4 linked regions of the Drosophila melanogaster genome follow. The protein of the gene in region 3 interacts with the protein of the main gene of each other region in a pairwise test. Each region holds a gene or a part of one and is shown on either strand. Other genes may lie near its edges. The genes, in order: Acam, Syb, unc-13 and CG15198.

Evidence for each region.
Region 1: the proteins of unc-13 (region 3) and Acam interact in a two-hybrid assay, tested with the Drosophila melanogaster proteins (one large-scale study listed by BioGRID).
Region 2: the proteins of unc-13 (region 3) and Syb interact in a two-hybrid assay, tested with the Drosophila melanogaster proteins (one large-scale study listed by BioGRID).
Region 4: the proteins of unc-13 (region 3) and CG15198 interact in a two-hybrid assay, tested with the Drosophila melanogaster proteins (one large-scale study listed by BioGRID).

What each region holds. Positions count from the first base shown.
Region 1 is NT_033777.3:25,809,969-25,813,635, reverse strand, and holds Acam (androcam), read right to left. Parts: upstream 1,726-3,667; 5' UTR 1,648-1,725; coding exon of another isoform or gene 1,153-1,647; 5' UTR 993-1,152; coding exon 546-992; 3' UTR 502-545; downstream 1-501. Other genes in the region: CG17770 (uncharacterized protein), read right to left, coding at 1,153-1,647; CG5024 (uncharacterized protein), read right to left, coding at 1,934-2,431. UniProt on the Drosophila melanogaster protein: May be involved in calcium-mediated signal transduction.
Region 2 is NT_033778.4:10,248,930-10,254,450, forward strand, and holds Syb (synaptobrevin), read right to left. Parts: upstream 3,489-5,521; 5' UTR 3,353-3,488; intron 3,244-3,352; exon of another isoform or gene 3,146-3,243; intron 3,056-3,145; 5' UTR 3,046-3,055; coding exon 2,999-3,045; intron 2,285-2,998; coding exon 1,950-2,284; intron 1,658-1,949; coding exon of another isoform or gene 1,641-1,657; exon of another isoform or gene 1,440-1,640; intron 899-1,439; coding exon 822-898; 3' UTR 506-821; downstream 1-505. Other genes in the region: CG12914 (uncharacterized protein), read left to right, coding at 13-231; Csgalnact (chondroitin sulfate N-acetylgalactosaminyltransferase), read left to right, coding at 4,058-5,096, 5,211-5,347, 5,408-5,521. UniProt on the Drosophila melanogaster protein: Involved in the targeting and/or fusion of transport vesicles to their target membrane.
Region 3 is NC_004353.4:890,549-895,156, forward strand, and holds the start of unc-13 (unc-13), read right to left. Parts: upstream 3,018-4,608; 5' UTR 2,957-3,017; intron 2,402-2,956; 5' UTR 2,346-2,401; intron 2,293-2,345; 5' UTR 2,249-2,292; coding exon 1-2,248.
Region 4 is NC_004354.4:11,246,601-11,249,399, reverse strand, and holds CG15198 (uncharacterized protein), read right to left. Parts: upstream 1,165-2,799; 5' UTR 992-1,164; coding exon 623-991; 3' UTR 515-622; downstream 1-514. Other genes in the region: CG44422 (uncharacterized protein), read left to right, coding at 1,933-2,653.

The sequences.
Region 1 (3,667 bases), on a different chromosome or scaffold from region 3:
CACACGAAATATTTATAAAGTCAGACACAAGCCCCAAAGACCCCAAGAGGTTGCTTCCAGCAAGGAGTACGAGCCGGGCCCGCTGAGGCCACAGTAAAATTTAATTTTAATGCATAAGCAAATTGAATTTAAGCAACAGGAAAATTGTTCGTCTGGCCACAAAGGTGCCGCATGTGGAAGCAAAAACCACTTGCCAGGGAAACGAAAAGGCGGACTAAAACCACGTCGAGTGTTTCATGCTGAAAGTTTTCACCTGAAGAAGGCGAGGCGAAAATTCCTTAAACCAACCACAATTACCGAAATGGGGTGCCTTCATCAAACATTTTTAAGAGCAGGACATGCTTGAAAAATTCTCGGTCTCCGAATTAGGCAAAGGAAAAACTAGCACACCGCAAAAATATAATTGAAATAATTGGGGGCGTATTAAAAAGTGTTCGAAAATAGTTAGACCGCAGAGAAGTGTAAATTGTATTTTTTGAAGAGAAATACACGATTTTTTTTATGCAGTGACCCCAAATATTTTTATTTCATTTAAAGTAGCTGTACTACTTCTGGCTTATCATCCATACGAATTCCTCGTAGTTGATCATGCCATCCCCATCAAAATCAGCCTCGCGAATCATCTCATCGATCTCCTCGTCGGTGACCTTTTCGCCCAGATTGATCATCACAAAGCGAAGCTCAGCTGGTGATATAAAGCCATCGCCATCACGATCAAAAATCTTGAATGCCTCACGCATTTCCTCCTCAGTGTCAGTTTCCCGCATTTGCTTGGCCATTATACCGCAGAACTCAGTGAAGTTCAGTTGGCCATTGTTGTTGTTCTCGGCCTCAGCTATCAAATCTTGCAACTCGGCCTCCGTTGGATTCTGGCCCAAGGTGCGCATCAATGTGCCCAGCTCACGGGTGGCGATCTTGCCGGTTCCCTCCTTGTCGAACTGGACAAAGGCATCCTTGAACTCGGCAATCTGCTCCTCCGTTAGTTCGGACATCTTGATAAATTTTCAAAGATTTTCGGTATTTATCGAGATATTTTTAAATGCTTGCAGAGCTATAGACTGTTGGAATTTACGAAAGGGAATGAGCCGAAACTGTTTTGATGATACTGATACTGACAGGTCGGGTTCCCAACCCCTAAAGCCTGCTTTTTCCTTATGTAGTGGACATCATTCTGACAAATCGCACATAGTCTATATTGCCTTCCAAATCAGAATTTGCATCACGGATGATCTCCTCCACCTCATCATCCGTCAATTGCTCCCCCATGTTCTGCATTATGTGACGAAATTCCGATTCAGATATTAAGCCGGTTCCTTCTTTGTCAAAGACTCTGAATGCAGCTATAATTTCATCCTCGGTAGACATGTTTGCGTACCTCTGAGACATGATGTGAAGGAAATCGCTGAGATATAACTCACCGGATCCATCAGCATCGATCTCGGCCTGAATTTCCTGCAATTCCATATCACTGGGATAGTGGGCCACAGACAGCATTAGTTGCCTGAGATTTGTTATAGGAATAACCTTAGTGTCTTGGTCGTCAAACAGGGAAAAGGCAATCTCCAAATCCTTGACCTGTTCTTCGGTCAGATTGTGGGTGCGAATGGTCCGTTCCTCTGGCGGCGGAGTAAGGAATTCGAAATCCATGGCCAAAGGAAGGGGTTGGGGGTGGGAAAATTTTGGGGTCACTGAACACTCACTACAAATTTTCGACAAACTTTAGTTCACAACTTCATATTTATAATTTAATAACAAGAAAAGCCTACTCTTGTTATCATTTTATCTATTGTATATTGGCTTTTTTTTTTTTTTAAAGAATAGTCCAAACTGGTGGTATCCGATATTTCAAGATCTTCGATTCCATTGGCCATGCTTTTGAAATTTATTGATTAGATCTACAATCGGTTATGTTTTTTATTTTTCAAAGAGAGTGTTACGTCTCCATCATCATGGTCACAAAGCGAACGTAGTCGATTTTCAGTTCCGTGTTGGCGTCGGCATCACGTATCATTTCCTCGATCTCGTCCTCTTCCATTTCATCGCCATATTCAGTCATTATCTGACGGAACTCATTCTCGTGTATAAAGCCAGATCCATCTTTGTCGAAGACTTTGAAAGCGAGGATAACTTCATCTTCGACGGTCAAATTCTCGTACCGTTTCGACATGATGTATAGGAAATCACTGAGATAAAGCTCGCCGGATCCATCCGTATCAATTTCGGTTATATAATCCTGTATCTCGTTTTCCGGCGGGTTGTGGGCCACGGCTCGCAGGCAATCTCTCAATAACTTGATCGGAATGACCTTGGCATTATCGTCGTCGAAGAGGGCGAAGGCCGCCTCACAATCCTTGAGCTGTTCATCATTCAGCGTGTGGGTATGAACTGTTCGTACCTCCGGAGGTGGACTACTGAAATCAAAGTCATCCATGGCAAATTGTAAGTATACCTTGGGCTAAAATTTGGATTTCCCGAAAAGATGAATTTTAAAATTTAGTTTTTCGAAAATAGTTGTGTTTAAATATTGTCTTTTCATTGACAGTTTTCCATTTAGACTGAAATTGTGGAAAATTCAAGGCATTGACAACAAAAGATTACTAGTTAGTTTTTTAAAATTTTTTTTTTGTTAGTTGCCCCACGCTCTTTTCTGACATGGTTCTTAAACTCATTTTCAGTAAGATAAATTTGTGAAATGGAAAAAACTACAACTGCTCCGTGATGCAGTAACACCGCAGTAAAATATAGCAGGATTTAACAATTAAATTTGCAACAATTTTCCGAATAATGTTTTCATAGCCTCTGGCTACCGCTTCGAGCAATGTGGCTGTTGAAAAGCATGGGTAATTACATTTTTAATTAAATGCGTCGCAGTTTGTTCTGTTTTTATATTATTTTTATTTTTGTTGGTGCATTTATACAACTGTTCAGTATTTTTTCTGCTCAGCCATTTGCTGCCATCGTTGGTCTCTTGGGTCATAAAATGTTTTTTGTGTTTGTATTTTTTTTTTTTTTATTGAGCATTACGGGCAAATAGGGAAATTATCCAATGCAAAATTTCGAGCAATTTGCATAATTTGGGAGCGGAGAAGGCGAGAACCAAACTGCACAAACCCATGTCCCTGGCCATCAACCTTTCTCACACGTGCTCCTCCCAGTGGAGCGAACAATGGGGGCTTCTTGGTAATGAGAAGCAAATCCTGGCCACGAAGGACACAAAGGATTTAGGATTGGGGCCAAAGTTGAGCCACACAACAAGGCACTGTCAAGCATTTCTCTGCATAGATTAGAGAGGACTTTTCGGGCCAGAGATGCGGGATTATATATTTGTATGGAAAACAATAGTTCCAAGTATTACTTAGCAGGTAATATATTAATTAGGGCTACTAACTAAATAAATAAAAGTTGTTTGCGTTAAAGGAGAGTAAAAACAATTTGCTTAAAATAATTGGCAGATTTGTAGATCTCCCAACTAATAAATTCTATTCTGATGACCACATGTGTATATGTTTATACGATTGTCTGGTAAATGCAGCTCAGAATATGTTTGTTGTTTGACTTTAATCAGGCATAAACAGGACGATATAGCAACAGCCGAGCCGCAATCGAAATGGCAACAGACCTTTGGGGGATTTGGATAATTTGCATTTCTGTAGTGGGACAGGACACA
Region 2 (5,521 bases), on a different chromosome or scaffold from region 3:
TTTTGCCCACAGTTTGTCATAGTCTTTGGCGCTTCCATGCGAAAGCCGAACTTCTACCGCCAGGAGTCGACCGGGGACTACATACTGATCGGCCAGCTGTACTACCTCAACTTTTTTGCCCTATATATGGGCTATGTGTGGACGACAGCCTCGTTTATAGAATTGATGGGATGGCGCGCGGACATTCATGATATATTCGTGTACCTGTTCTATCGGAAGAACATCGAATGAGTGGAACGCATGCGTGGACTATCGGAACAGCTGGGACAGAATGTTTATGCGAGACGATTCAGTTCCTGCGGCAATTGGTCAGTGCCTCGATGTCGATGGGGCAAGTTTGTCTGGGTGCCCGCGACTGCTGTCGTCTTGTTTCGATTCGGTTTGCCGGAAAATCGATAACTGTTTCCATGGCACGCGCATCTTAAGCAAAAACGCTGAATGTAAATAAATGGCTCTGTCCGCGAAACGTTTCCATAAAACTTCGGTGGACTTGATGGGTCCGGTTAAAGTGTAGGTGGCATGATGTATTTTCAATTGGATGATATACACGTATATATAATTGTATATAATGCAATACACATTAATGGGACCTCTGGTCTCGGCTACGACACGTAAAAATGTTAAGTTTAACATTAAGATTTAATAATTACATTCTGGTTAAATATATGCTAGACGCAATTTTAGTAAGTTATCCTTTTGATTTTCTTCATCTCCCCTTCTCTCATTGCGCGAAAAGACCAGAAAGGTTTCCGTCCCAGTTGTGTTTGTTTGGTCCTTTTCCATTTCGTATCCATGTGTTTACCTCACTCCCTAGGAGGCCTTTAGTGCGGCGGTGCTTGGGTGATGGCCTTGTTTCCTCCACCACTGCCGCTGTCACTACTAGACGGCCAAACGGACACTAAAAAGGGAAATACGCAGATATTAGAGCTATGTTTATATCAATTCAACGAGATATGAAAAGGATTTCATATCCTATCTCGCATTTAAATGAAATCGCGGTCTTTTTAAGTAAAAGTTCTAACCACCCAGCACATTGTACTGAGCGTTTTGTTGACGAAAGATTTCTTCAGTTATTTATTAATTAACAACTTTTAAAGTCAGATTTTATCTTCCCGCTTACTATCTTACATACCTTTCGATGTCAGCACGGATTTCGTATTGTCATTCTTATTTAATACTTTTTACGCGAGTTTAATTTGAATAAAATCGAAATGACTTTTTAAAATGAAATTTCTCCATAGAACAGAGCCCTAGCCCCAACATTGCACTGTAGATATAACCATTTTTAACTTCTTAATAGCTTTGCTGAAGCTATATACATATGTATGAACTTTATAGTCTACACACGTATGACATGGAGGTTCTAATCTTCGCACACTACAGACTAAACAAATATAACGATAATTAACACTTAGGACAGGCACAAGAACAACAATTACCTTTAGAGCTTTAGAGTTGCTTAGCTTAAGACTTTTATAAAATATAATAAACAATTTAAGGAGTATATAGTAGGAGCCAGTACACGTACACAAACGTGTTAAACGATTAATCTGAACCTTAACTTTGCTGATTGGGAAACGGAATTACATGATTTTTGTTGGCTTTGCTTTTGTTTTTCTGTGAGTGTGTGTTTAATTGTATCAATTGAAAAGCGACACTGCAAGTAAACAGAAATTCACAAGGGGTTGTCATCAGTACGAGTAGGAGTATCTGTTATTGGATTAGTTAGCTGCAAGCCACATGGACAAGTTGTTAGGACCGAAACCACAGGTTGAGCAAGATTAGGGCGTTTGCAGGGCGTCGACTTGCGTTATAGATATAACAATACCAAACCAAACCAGCCACCTAGCTACACTACTGATCTTTAGCCTGATCGAGAAAAACCGCAACCAGAAAGAAGCACCAGCAAGAGGCAAAAAGCCGAAGCGGTATAAAATCGGTTAGCTTACCCAGAACGATGATGAGCAGCACAACGGCTATCACGCCCAGAATGATCATCATCTTCATGTTGGCCCACCATTGCTTGCGCTTCAGCTTGCCGGCCTGCTGCTCGAACTGGGATGCTCCCTGCTCCAGCTGATCCGCACGCTCGCCCAGTTCCGATAGCTTCTGGTCCCGCTCCAGGACCTTCTCCACGTTCACACGCATAATCCCGACCACCTCGTCCACCTTGGCTTGGGTCTGCTGCAGCTTCTTCTGGGCTGCATTGTTGTTCCTGATTTGATGGTCACCGAATTGATTGTAGTTGTCATTCGCGTTCGGCGGTGGCGGAAGTATGGGAAAACTGTACAATATTATGTGTGTTTGTGGGGGTTGCTTACACTTATTAAGAGCAGCAGATGGATCATCAAGCTGCAACGCACAAAAGCACGAGTCTTGGTATATCATGCCATCGTTATCTATGCCAATTCACCTTTCACGTTTTAATAATGGGACTTGTGTCCTATAAATACTTTCTTTCTTCTTAAATTCGGATAGACTAATAAAACTTCACAATCTCAAGTGCTGTTGAAATTCCATTGACAAAAAAAAATATAAAATGAGTAATATTCATTTGTTTTTCATAGATGTTAAATGAAACATACTTAAGTATGTTCAGTTACCATTTGCGATAAAGTGATTAATAAGCAAATTCTGTTTCTGATTATAAGCTACTTGCAAATGTTTTACAATTTAGAATCGAATATAATTAATACTTTTTTGTTATTCGAGTTAATTTGCCATTTCACATTAATATTCCATCTAAGATAGCAACTGACTTTACAATATCTCAACTTAACTGAATGCTTTTAATGACCCTAATTGATTTCAAACTACAACTGAAGCTACCGCTTGGGCAGCAGCATGACGTTTACGGTATTCCAATGTCCGAAAGTGAAGTCCGAAGACTTTACTTCCGGTTCGCTGTGGCCCATATGACTCAGGTGACGTCACTGTATGGGATTTTCCTTGCTTTTGTGCGCTGAGCCTGTTGATTCGATGGATTTCCACCACTTACTCGTTGTTGTTGGATCCCGAGGGGGAGGGGGCTTCGTTGTTCTCCATTGTGAATTTGCTGCGGAAAGAAAGCGAAGCAGAGAAAGGCCTTTATTGGATGTCTGGTTCTTTAAATGGGGAGAATGCATGTTCCATCACACACACACACCCGAAATTGTTTAGATTACAGGGCCGAAAAGAAAAGAAAACAAAACGCAGCACACGCCTTATCTATTCGGCCTATGAATCACTCGATTTATAGGAATGCCATCACCTTTGCTCGAAAAAAGAACTTGTTGCATGCCGCACTGCCAACAAACGCTGTTTACATGGGTGGAACGCCACCCCCAACCACCCACCACCCCCGAGCACTCACCTTGACAATGTGCCTGTAGAATACTGCTGTGTATTTCGGGTTTTCCACGGAAAACTGCGGCTGCTTTTTAAATAGCACTATTTTTTTTTATAGAAATATCAGCTTGTGATCAGTGTGACCGTTGAACTATTAGAGCTGGAACCAAGCCCGATACCTTATCGATACTATCGATGTTTCCTGAAAACCCCTTGCAAATATAAAAAGATAATACTTATCTAGCTTATAAAAAACATGAATTGGTATATTTAGTATGTGTATCGGCGCACAAATTATTGTTAACAAGCACTTGCATTCCATTTTTCTTTAGTTCCTTGCAGATGATGTTTGATTTCAAATCAATGTCTTATATTATTGTATCTTATTTTATTACTTAAATTACCAGTGCCGCAAGCCAAAATGAAATTTTTGTTTGCTCTTAACTGATTTATCTTTAATACTTTTACAAAAGATCAGCGAAAATTATTAATAACGCACTGTTGCCTAAATAGCAGAGACAAAAACCAATAAACTGTTCTACCGAGCCATGTACATGTATAATATGTAATAAAAATGTAGAATTCCACAGCAATGTATAAAATTTGTGATAATTCGTTACTAGTTTTTTTTACAGTCTCAAATGTGTGTTTGCATTTTACTATTGCACTTAGATAACTAATTATTTTATTATTTTCAATAGGTTGAAAATTTTGTAAGAAACTATGGAAAATGCATAACTCCCTGGTGACCAAGTTGCTGCTGCGGCTTTTGCTGCTCTTCGCCTTGTTGACCGGCGCCTCCATTGTGGTGCTCACAAAGTGCGGATTCGATGAACTGACGACGAGGGAAACTCAAGCCAATAATCCGAGTGAATCCAGCGGATTCAGTTACACCTTAAGCGAACGAGAGGCGGAAATTGAGCGGCTGAAACAGGAAGTCCTGGCTCTCCGCACTCAAATCCTCTTTCTACAGAATAATCGCAGCACTGCCAAGCCATCAAATGGCAGTCTTCAATTGCAAGAAACCACCGCGGGGCCACCAACTGCACCACTGGGTCACCATTACGACTGCAGCAGCTATATTCGCAAGCAGGTGGGCGCCGCAGAAATTCTGCATGGACTGCCGCTGAACAACGAGTACGAGCTGATACCCTACAATCACTTCACCTTCACGCGAGTATATCCCATCGACTTGGGCCTGGGAAAGCGCGTGGTGGAGAAGCCCATCGGTTATCGACGACGTGACCTCATCGAGGCGGTAAACAAGGCGCTGGAGAGCCTGAACAGGAATCACTCAGCGAGAATACGAGCCAAGGGAGCTGGTTCTGCAGCGGCTTACGCCTCGGATGTGATCAAATACACCCTGGATGACTTTATCGAGGGCATATACCGCAACGAACCCACCACAGGCACCCAGTACGAGCTGTACTTCCAGAGTGTCAAGCACCAGGCGAGTCCAGTGCGGAGAGCCCTGGTCATGCGACCATTTGCTCCTCTGCAAACGGTGCAGCTATCGGAGCTATCTTCCAGTGTGGATAATAGTGGTGCCCCTCCAAGTCATAGTCCGCCCATAATCCACGTGATACTACCGCTGGCTGGACGTCTGCACAGCTTTCGCGGCTTCCTGCAGATGTTCGCCAAGCTAGAGGATCGTCGCCTGGAGCTTATTGTGGTGTACTTTGGAACCAGTGGATTGGAGCAAGCTAGGAGCCTGGCTGGACGATCCCAAAGGACTCAGTTTTTGGCACTCAATGAGACTTTCAGTAGGGGTAAGCACGGGTTTCGTTTATTAATATTACATTTGTTTCGTTCATAATACATATGCAAGTTTATAATGCATTACAAATAATATTGGTAGTTAATAATAGCCATTTTGCTTATAGCCAAAGCTTTAAGACTGGGAGCGGAGCACATTCAACCCGCTGAGGAGGACGTGCTGCTCTTCATGTGCGACGTGGACATTATGTTCACGACCAAGTTCCTGGAGCGTTGTCGCTGGAATGCAGCGCCTGGAAAGAAGGTAAATATATCTGCTATTATTTAAATTACTAATACATTAACATCTATTTTCAACGCTTAGGTCTACTACCCCGTCGTATTTAGCCTGTACAATCCGCATGTGGTGTACTCACTGCAGGGCAAGCCCTTGCCCAGCGAAGAGGAGCAACTGGTGATATCGAGGGACACCGGTTTC
Region 3 (4,608 bases):
AGTTATTTCTTAATAAATGTGCACTAAAACTGCTATCATTAGAATTATGGGATGGATTAAGGCTGTGAAATGTGGTCATATTTGCGTGTGAATTATCTATTTTAAAGTCATCCAATGAGCTGCCAACTAATTTTTTTAGAGTGTCAATATTTTTTTTTAACTTTTTTATTACCAGAACAAACTTTTCATTTGTGTTTGAAATGCAAAGCCTTTGCAGTTCTTCAGTAACAGTTAACGGATTAAGTAACAGCAAAGTCAACTTTTTATCGACCAGACTAATTTTTTGAAAAAACCTTTCTTCCGACCATACGGCATTTTGTAACTGACTCAATTGCGTTGCACTCAATGATTGTAACCCTTTAATTTTATTTATTTCCCCCAATAAAGTCTGTATTACGTTGTTTAACATTTTTCGTATATCATCTTTTAAATAACTGGTACTAATATGGTTGTCTGATTTATTTTCCGTTTCAGTTTGTTTTACACATGCATCTGAAAGTTTCGAACCCAATTCTTCAATGTCTCTCTTAATAATCTCTGTTGATTGTGCTTGTGCAAGGATACACTTTAGTTTATTAATCATATCCATTTCGTTTGTATGATGTTTTTTTTTTCTGTGCTTTCTTGGTTCTTTGTTCAAATGTTGGTTTGGCTCTGTTACGAGACACGCCTTTGCAGTCTGTAAAGGTTGTGTACCTGTAATAGCATTCACCCTCTGATTATTTAAAACTGGGGAAGAAGTTGACTGGTTTCGGATAAATGAGATGTGGTCATGTGTGGCCTCAGACTGATGTAGCAATGCATCAACCTTAAATATCTCAGAGCTCAATTCATTGTCTCGATAAGCCTCGTTTAGATTTTTATAAAAAGATTCGTCTACTTCATTAATATTAGCTGGACTTTCTGTTCCTCCAGTGTCTTCAATGGGTAAAACCTGATTTCCACCCTCGCCTGTTTTAGAGGCTGCTATTTGAAAAAAATTATTACTACTAGGGCTGACAAGTTCACAGGTTGACCGTCTCACGTATGTATCATCTATCTCACTTAACAGTGGTTCTCTAGGCTTTACAAGATTTTTATCCTTCTCAGAACTTTTTGACAATGCACCCGAGGATGCCGAAATCTCATTTAAAACTCGACGTCCATTTAAAAATTCTTTCATTAATTCGGCACGCGCGCTATTTGCTAGAAACTGCTGCCTCTCATATAACATAAGGTCAGAATCTGAGTAAAGTTTAGTTCTTGATTCCTTGTATGCTTCAAAATCCGATTGATTACCTTTTTGTTTTGGCTCGTAGCCTTTTTCAAAACCAAATTTTATTATCCCAATGTCTAAGTTTTTGCCATTGAAATCAATGTTTTCAAAATTTGGATGGGAATCTATTGCGTAAGCGGAATTCATAAGGTCTTCCGATTTAGTAGCTTGCGTATGTTTTGTTACAAAAGTTTTTTCATGATTTTCAAAAGTAAGATTCTTATCAAAGTCACGATTAGATGATTGGATATCTATATCTAATGTGTCTTCCATTTCCAACGGTAGCAATTGATCTTCATCTTGATATAAGGGTACTTTCATTCTTTCGATATCCACTTTTTGAAGTTCTTTTTTTGATGCGCCGATAAGATCCACAAGGTTGCCAACGACAGACTGTTGTTCTATTGATATGTTTTCAAGCTTTTCCAAACGAATCCAAATCTTTCCGTACTCCGTAGAAAGCAAATCCAATGCACGCCAAGCAAACTTCAGCTCTGTCTCGAGTAAACTGATCCTTGTTGCAATTTTATCCATATAATCGGAGATAATGTAGTCAGAGTGTTGCTCCGAATTGTAGCTCTGACACAACTGTTGTTCACTTTTAATCGATATCATACTTTCATTAGTATTTATGCTTGGATAACTTAAGTAAGAGAAATCCAATCCATTGGGCGACTTACTCATCGGTGGTTGCATTTCCGGTATTTGTGCTTTGGCAAGGTCAAAATCCATGTTGTGTTGGATAGAATTAAGGTGCCCCTGGCTTAAGAGCGGAGCTCTTACTGATCCGGCAGCAGAAGAGCTCAATAGTGACGACGCATAAATCGTTGATTGTTGCTGAAGTCGTAACTGCTCCTTTATTTTAATCTGGCTTTTGAGGGCATTTTCTGCAAAGATAAGCTTTTCCTGGGTGTTTATTTTGAGTTCCTTTTTAAGCAACTGACTTTTTTTTTCCGTATCCCCGGTCACTTGCAGCTGAGATGTGTTCATCATACCGTTAATTAGGGTTTTATTCGATGGATTAGTTTTGTTTTTACCTAAATAATTTTGTTTTTAAAATGTGTTTTAATGCTCTGTGTGGAATACATACGTTTATTTCAAAAGCCAATTTCGTCTGTAATACTGAATTGTTATATACATATGTACCTAAACAGCGTTAAGTGGTTGACGACAAAAAAAATACACATAACTATTAAAATTAGGTTCTTGTACTATGTATGTATGTGTATTTCAAAACGTATTTAGATAAAACCCGGTCTTAATTTCACTTCTAAGCACACTCAAAGTAAATAAAAATGCTTTTTAAATATGACCTATATTAGTTGTAACAAAATACACATGTGTCTGTTTGAAATTTACTTCAACTAAAAAACTTGTGCAATTAATTAACTAGTACCAAATGTGGTTTAATATTGGTAGGTTTTTCAATTATGCTTGTATGTACTGTAAAGGGGATCCTAAAATGGATGCGTTTATTAATTATTTGGTATCTGGGCTTAAGAGCGATTCCAGCTTTTTTTCTTTTTTATAAAAACAAAACTGTTTTATAGTCTTTCTGTGCACAAAATTATGTATATGCAATTTTTAACTAAAAGGCCTAAGCTTTTTTATCTGGCTTTCTTAATGTAAACGGTTTGAAACCACTACGAACAATTATTTGTGCTCTGCTAAGAATTAAAAAAACGTTGAAATTCACAGTACAATTTAGTAAATTCTTTGTTGCGCCTAGCTCCGTTTTCATGAAGCTACCAGCAAGTAAGCTTTGCGCGGATGACAGTTACACACTTAGAACTTTAGTTTTTAGTACACCATTGAAAAGCTTATGTATACAGAAAAAAGTCAAGTGTGGGTAAGACGGGAAAAATGTAAGAGAATATTTTTCTATCTATTGCGCATGCCTTAACCATTCTCTGTCAAACGCTCTTAAAGTTTTTGTAATAAACTGAACTTACTCCTTTTTTTATAATGTCACATCTAAGACCATTTATTAACCGTTTACAATTCGTAAACGGTTAACAGGTTTTCAGAATAATTACATCGAACGATTTTGTTAAGAGTTGCCTCGAAATATGTCAAATTAAGACCATTCAAATTAAAAGCTTTAGTCGTACTCCCTAATCAATTTTGAATAATTTTCAGGGGCAATACATTGCGTTATGTCAGAATTGTCTCAAGATCAAGTCCAATGGAATTCCCTTAAAAAGGAAATGACAAACATTAAATATTTAAGAACAATTTTGAAAGCTTTAGTCGAAAGTTTTGACTGTGACATGCCCATTGCTCAAGAAATGCGAGGAACTGTTTCCGTTATTTATCGAGCATCAATTTGCGGTCGTTACATGAATTGTTTAAAAGTTTTGAGTTAATGTTGCCATTCATTGAAACAGATATGAAATTTCTAAGATAAAACGGCGGTGTCTTATTTATACCGTTACAAAATCCTAAATTTGTTAGATTTGTGTTTATAAAATATATGGTGGTTATCAATTAGCAATAGGTCAGGGTGGACGATAAGCGTACTGGCGAAGCAAAGAAATAAAAATACTAGTAAAGGAAAGGCAACGAAAAAAACAACCAATACTTAAAAAAATTATATTCAGGAGAAAAATTATGTTTTTGGCGAATTTGTTAATATGAAAATTTTGTTTTTTTTTTTGTCTGTCTGCTCAATCCTAGTATGCATTTATTTATGTTTAAGTGCTTGACAGACAATACCACTTTTCGTAAAACCCTTAAAGCTGTATATACTTTAAAATTCCTTAAATTCGTCAATACATTTTCGTTAAAAAATTGTTAGGCAGCCAAAACAGCTTTTTACCCAACGAAAGAAGAAGTGGAAAAAATAACTGTTTAGGGTTTAAAAATAGAAGCATTGAACTGATCCTTGTCTGTTGTCAAAAGTATTTACACACAATTTTTACGCGTCAAAATTATTTACATACAGCTTTTTTAATTGTTTTTTGCGTTTTTTTTTCGTGGAGAACAGTCTATTTCCTGAGGTGAATGCGTGCTCATTTAAGATATGGAGGTATCCTGTTTGATTTATTGTACCCTCTATCGGTACCATGTCTCCAAATCCAAAGTAGCTTAAACAGCCCCAGAACATCACCGTGCCACCACCAAATCGATTGATTAGCTGGACGGCATTCAACCTTTAGTTTTTTTGGGAAATGCATAAATTTCTTGCTAAAGGATCTCTGAAACTGAAACCCAATTTCATCAGTCCATAAAACATCAAACCAGAACTCGATAGGCTTCTCTTTATACTCCAAGGCAAATGAGAGACGTTTTTCATAGGAGTTGATGTCAACTTCCTTCATTCTGCGACGCAGTGTACTATATGTTTTCCAATT
Region 4 (2,799 bases), on a different chromosome or scaffold from region 3:
TACATTTTTAACTGTGAATGCCATTCGAAAGACAATTTTATGACGAGTTCAACGAGGTATGGCATTCCATGTTTGGATAAATAACTTTATTGCTATGAACAAAATAATGATTATATTTTGTTGAAAAATTGGTGTTTCATTTTGGCAAAATGATGATTTTTTCGAAGAATTCAGTTTGCTATAACTTGGCCAAAAATGGTCACTTATTCAAAAAAATTACTGTTTTATACAGCTAATGATCCAAATAAACGATTTCTGTAACCGTTTTGTTAATTTGAAAAAATTGATTTTTTTCAAATTTTCAGATTTTTTATAAGGGGTAACATCATCATTTTTTGCGAAAAATTGAAAAAAAATTACATTTTTAACTGTGAATGCCATTCGAAAGACAATTTTATGACGAGTTCAACGAGGTATGGCATTCCATATTTGGACAACTATTTACATTGCTGTAGGAAAAAGACTGATCATTTTTCGACAGACTATAGAAAAAATACGAATGGATTATTTTTCTGGGCCTTTTATTTTTGTATTTGGGGCTAGCTTGGTGTTGCGAGTTAGCCTATTCAAATAGCCAGTTGGTAGATAAAGCTTTCTGATCCAATGTGAACTTCCTCTGGTTCTAACCACAGCCAGGACCATCGATGCGAGCGCCCTCCATGCAGGGATACGGCTTGCATGTGGTGTTGTTGGAAGACGACGCACCCTGATCCCCTCCAGTGCCCGCTGCTCCGCCCATACGAGCGGCGGCGGCCAGGACCTCGACGGTGCTATATATGTTGGCCACGATTACCATGCCGCCCGCAGCTCCGCTGGGCAAACTGTTGGGATCCGTTGCATCCGTTGGAGAACCATTGGTGGTCGTAGTAGTTGGCTGACAGTTGGGTGAGCATTGCTGGCCGGGAATCTCGGGAATGGCACACGCCTTGCTGGGATGTGGGCCAATGTAGAAGGGATTGAAGGGTTTGTCGTCGGACTCGAGGGTTTTCATGGTGATGGTGAGCGCAGCAACGTTTAAACGGCAAAGGTAGAAAATGTGGAAAAACACGGAGTTATTCACACGGAAAAATTTTGAATTTTTTTTTTTTTGGCTAGTTTTCCGAACTGTTCGGTGTAAGGTTTGCCCCAATACTGAACAAAAGTCAACCACACGGATGGTTTTATCTATGCGAGTTTCATTGCGAGGCCTACTTACTTGGGATAACAAATGTTTAATTTAGTTGTAATATTTTGCATAAATTTAATAGGTTACAATGTGCGTTAGCATCTCAATCGATGTGCATTGGCAACTTAGTTAGCCGCAATTTACTGAGAAGGCAATTGTCTAGTTTAGTGTATCATTTAGTAAATAGGATTAAAATGGGCTAACAAGTGCGCTTACAACAGCTTTATAATTCACATACGCACACACACGCACACACATACGCATGCACGCATACTAACAATGCAACGCTGCTGGCAAATGGAATAAATGGAAATTCCTGGAAATAGTTTTCTTTGTTATTTACTCTATTCCGATCAAATTAAGATAATTAGAAAATAATATGGGAACACGATAAAGTACCCAGCTTCGAAAGCATTTGGTACAGTTTGTTTGTACTGTTTTTGGGAAACTAATTAATTCCCAAATGAAATTAAATTAAAGAAATTGATCGGTTTAGAGACCTAAATGCCTTAGTATCGGAACTAACATATATATTCTGCTCGATTTTACTCGCTTCTCGCAGATGCGGCACCGCTTAACCCCAATCTGCCTAACAAAGTGACCGCCGTAACCATGTAACTGTCCAATATGCTACTAAAACCACTAAAACCAGCCAGCGACAATTAAAGCCAGCCGCTAGAGAGGATCGGGAGCAGGAACAGGAGCAGCAGAAGGAGGTGGAACTCTAGCCGCTCCAGCAGTACATAACATACACTGAGAGAAACATTATGGCCGGGCCACAGGTGCAGCACAGCCAGCGACCGAATAGCGCCTACTACACGGGTCTAAATGGTGGTTCCGGCAGCGGCGGCGGCGGAGGAGGAGGAGGAGCTGGAGGCGGCGGCGCAGGTGGTGGATCCTCCGCCGGAATGTCAAGCAGTGCATCGCACACCGGACTGCATGCCCTGCGCCAGGTGAGCAACGAAACGGAGCTCATCTATCGTGGAAGCCACAGCAATGGCACCGTCAACGAGCTGCCCTCGAGCGCCCAGCATCACCTGCTCACAGGTCGAGCGGTCCAGCAGCACCAGCAGCAGCAGCAGATGCATCACCAGACGGTGAGCAGCATCGCTGGCACCGGATCCAGTGTCACAGATGCCCTCATCAGCACCATTAACTCCGGCGGTGGCGGTGGTGGTCCCTCCGGCAGCAGTTGCTCCACGGCGGCATTGGGCATTAAAAAGTCCAGCACGCAACGCAGCATCGAGATTATTGTGGACGCCAGTCAGTGCGGCAAGGAGCTGGTGGCCAGTGGTCCGGGTTCGGGTGCAGCGGGCTCGGGGGCAGCGATTGTCTCCACCCTGGACGTGGAAGATGTGGAGCAGGGCGGTGGCGGTCAGGAGTCCTCCTCCTCGCATAGGAAATCATCGCGCCATCGGCATCGACCGCTCCACCGGCGGCTGATCACGTATCTGCGGAACCTCTTCCAAGGCAGCACCACACAGAATGGTAAGGCAGCTTTTGTAAGAGGAGCAACTGCATCCACTTGGGCATTTCATGCATTTTCCTAAGCTTCTAGTTTTGAGCTAGATAATTTCTTGTAAGGAAAGAGGGAAACCCGAAACTTAGATATGTGATATGATTAAAGTACATTT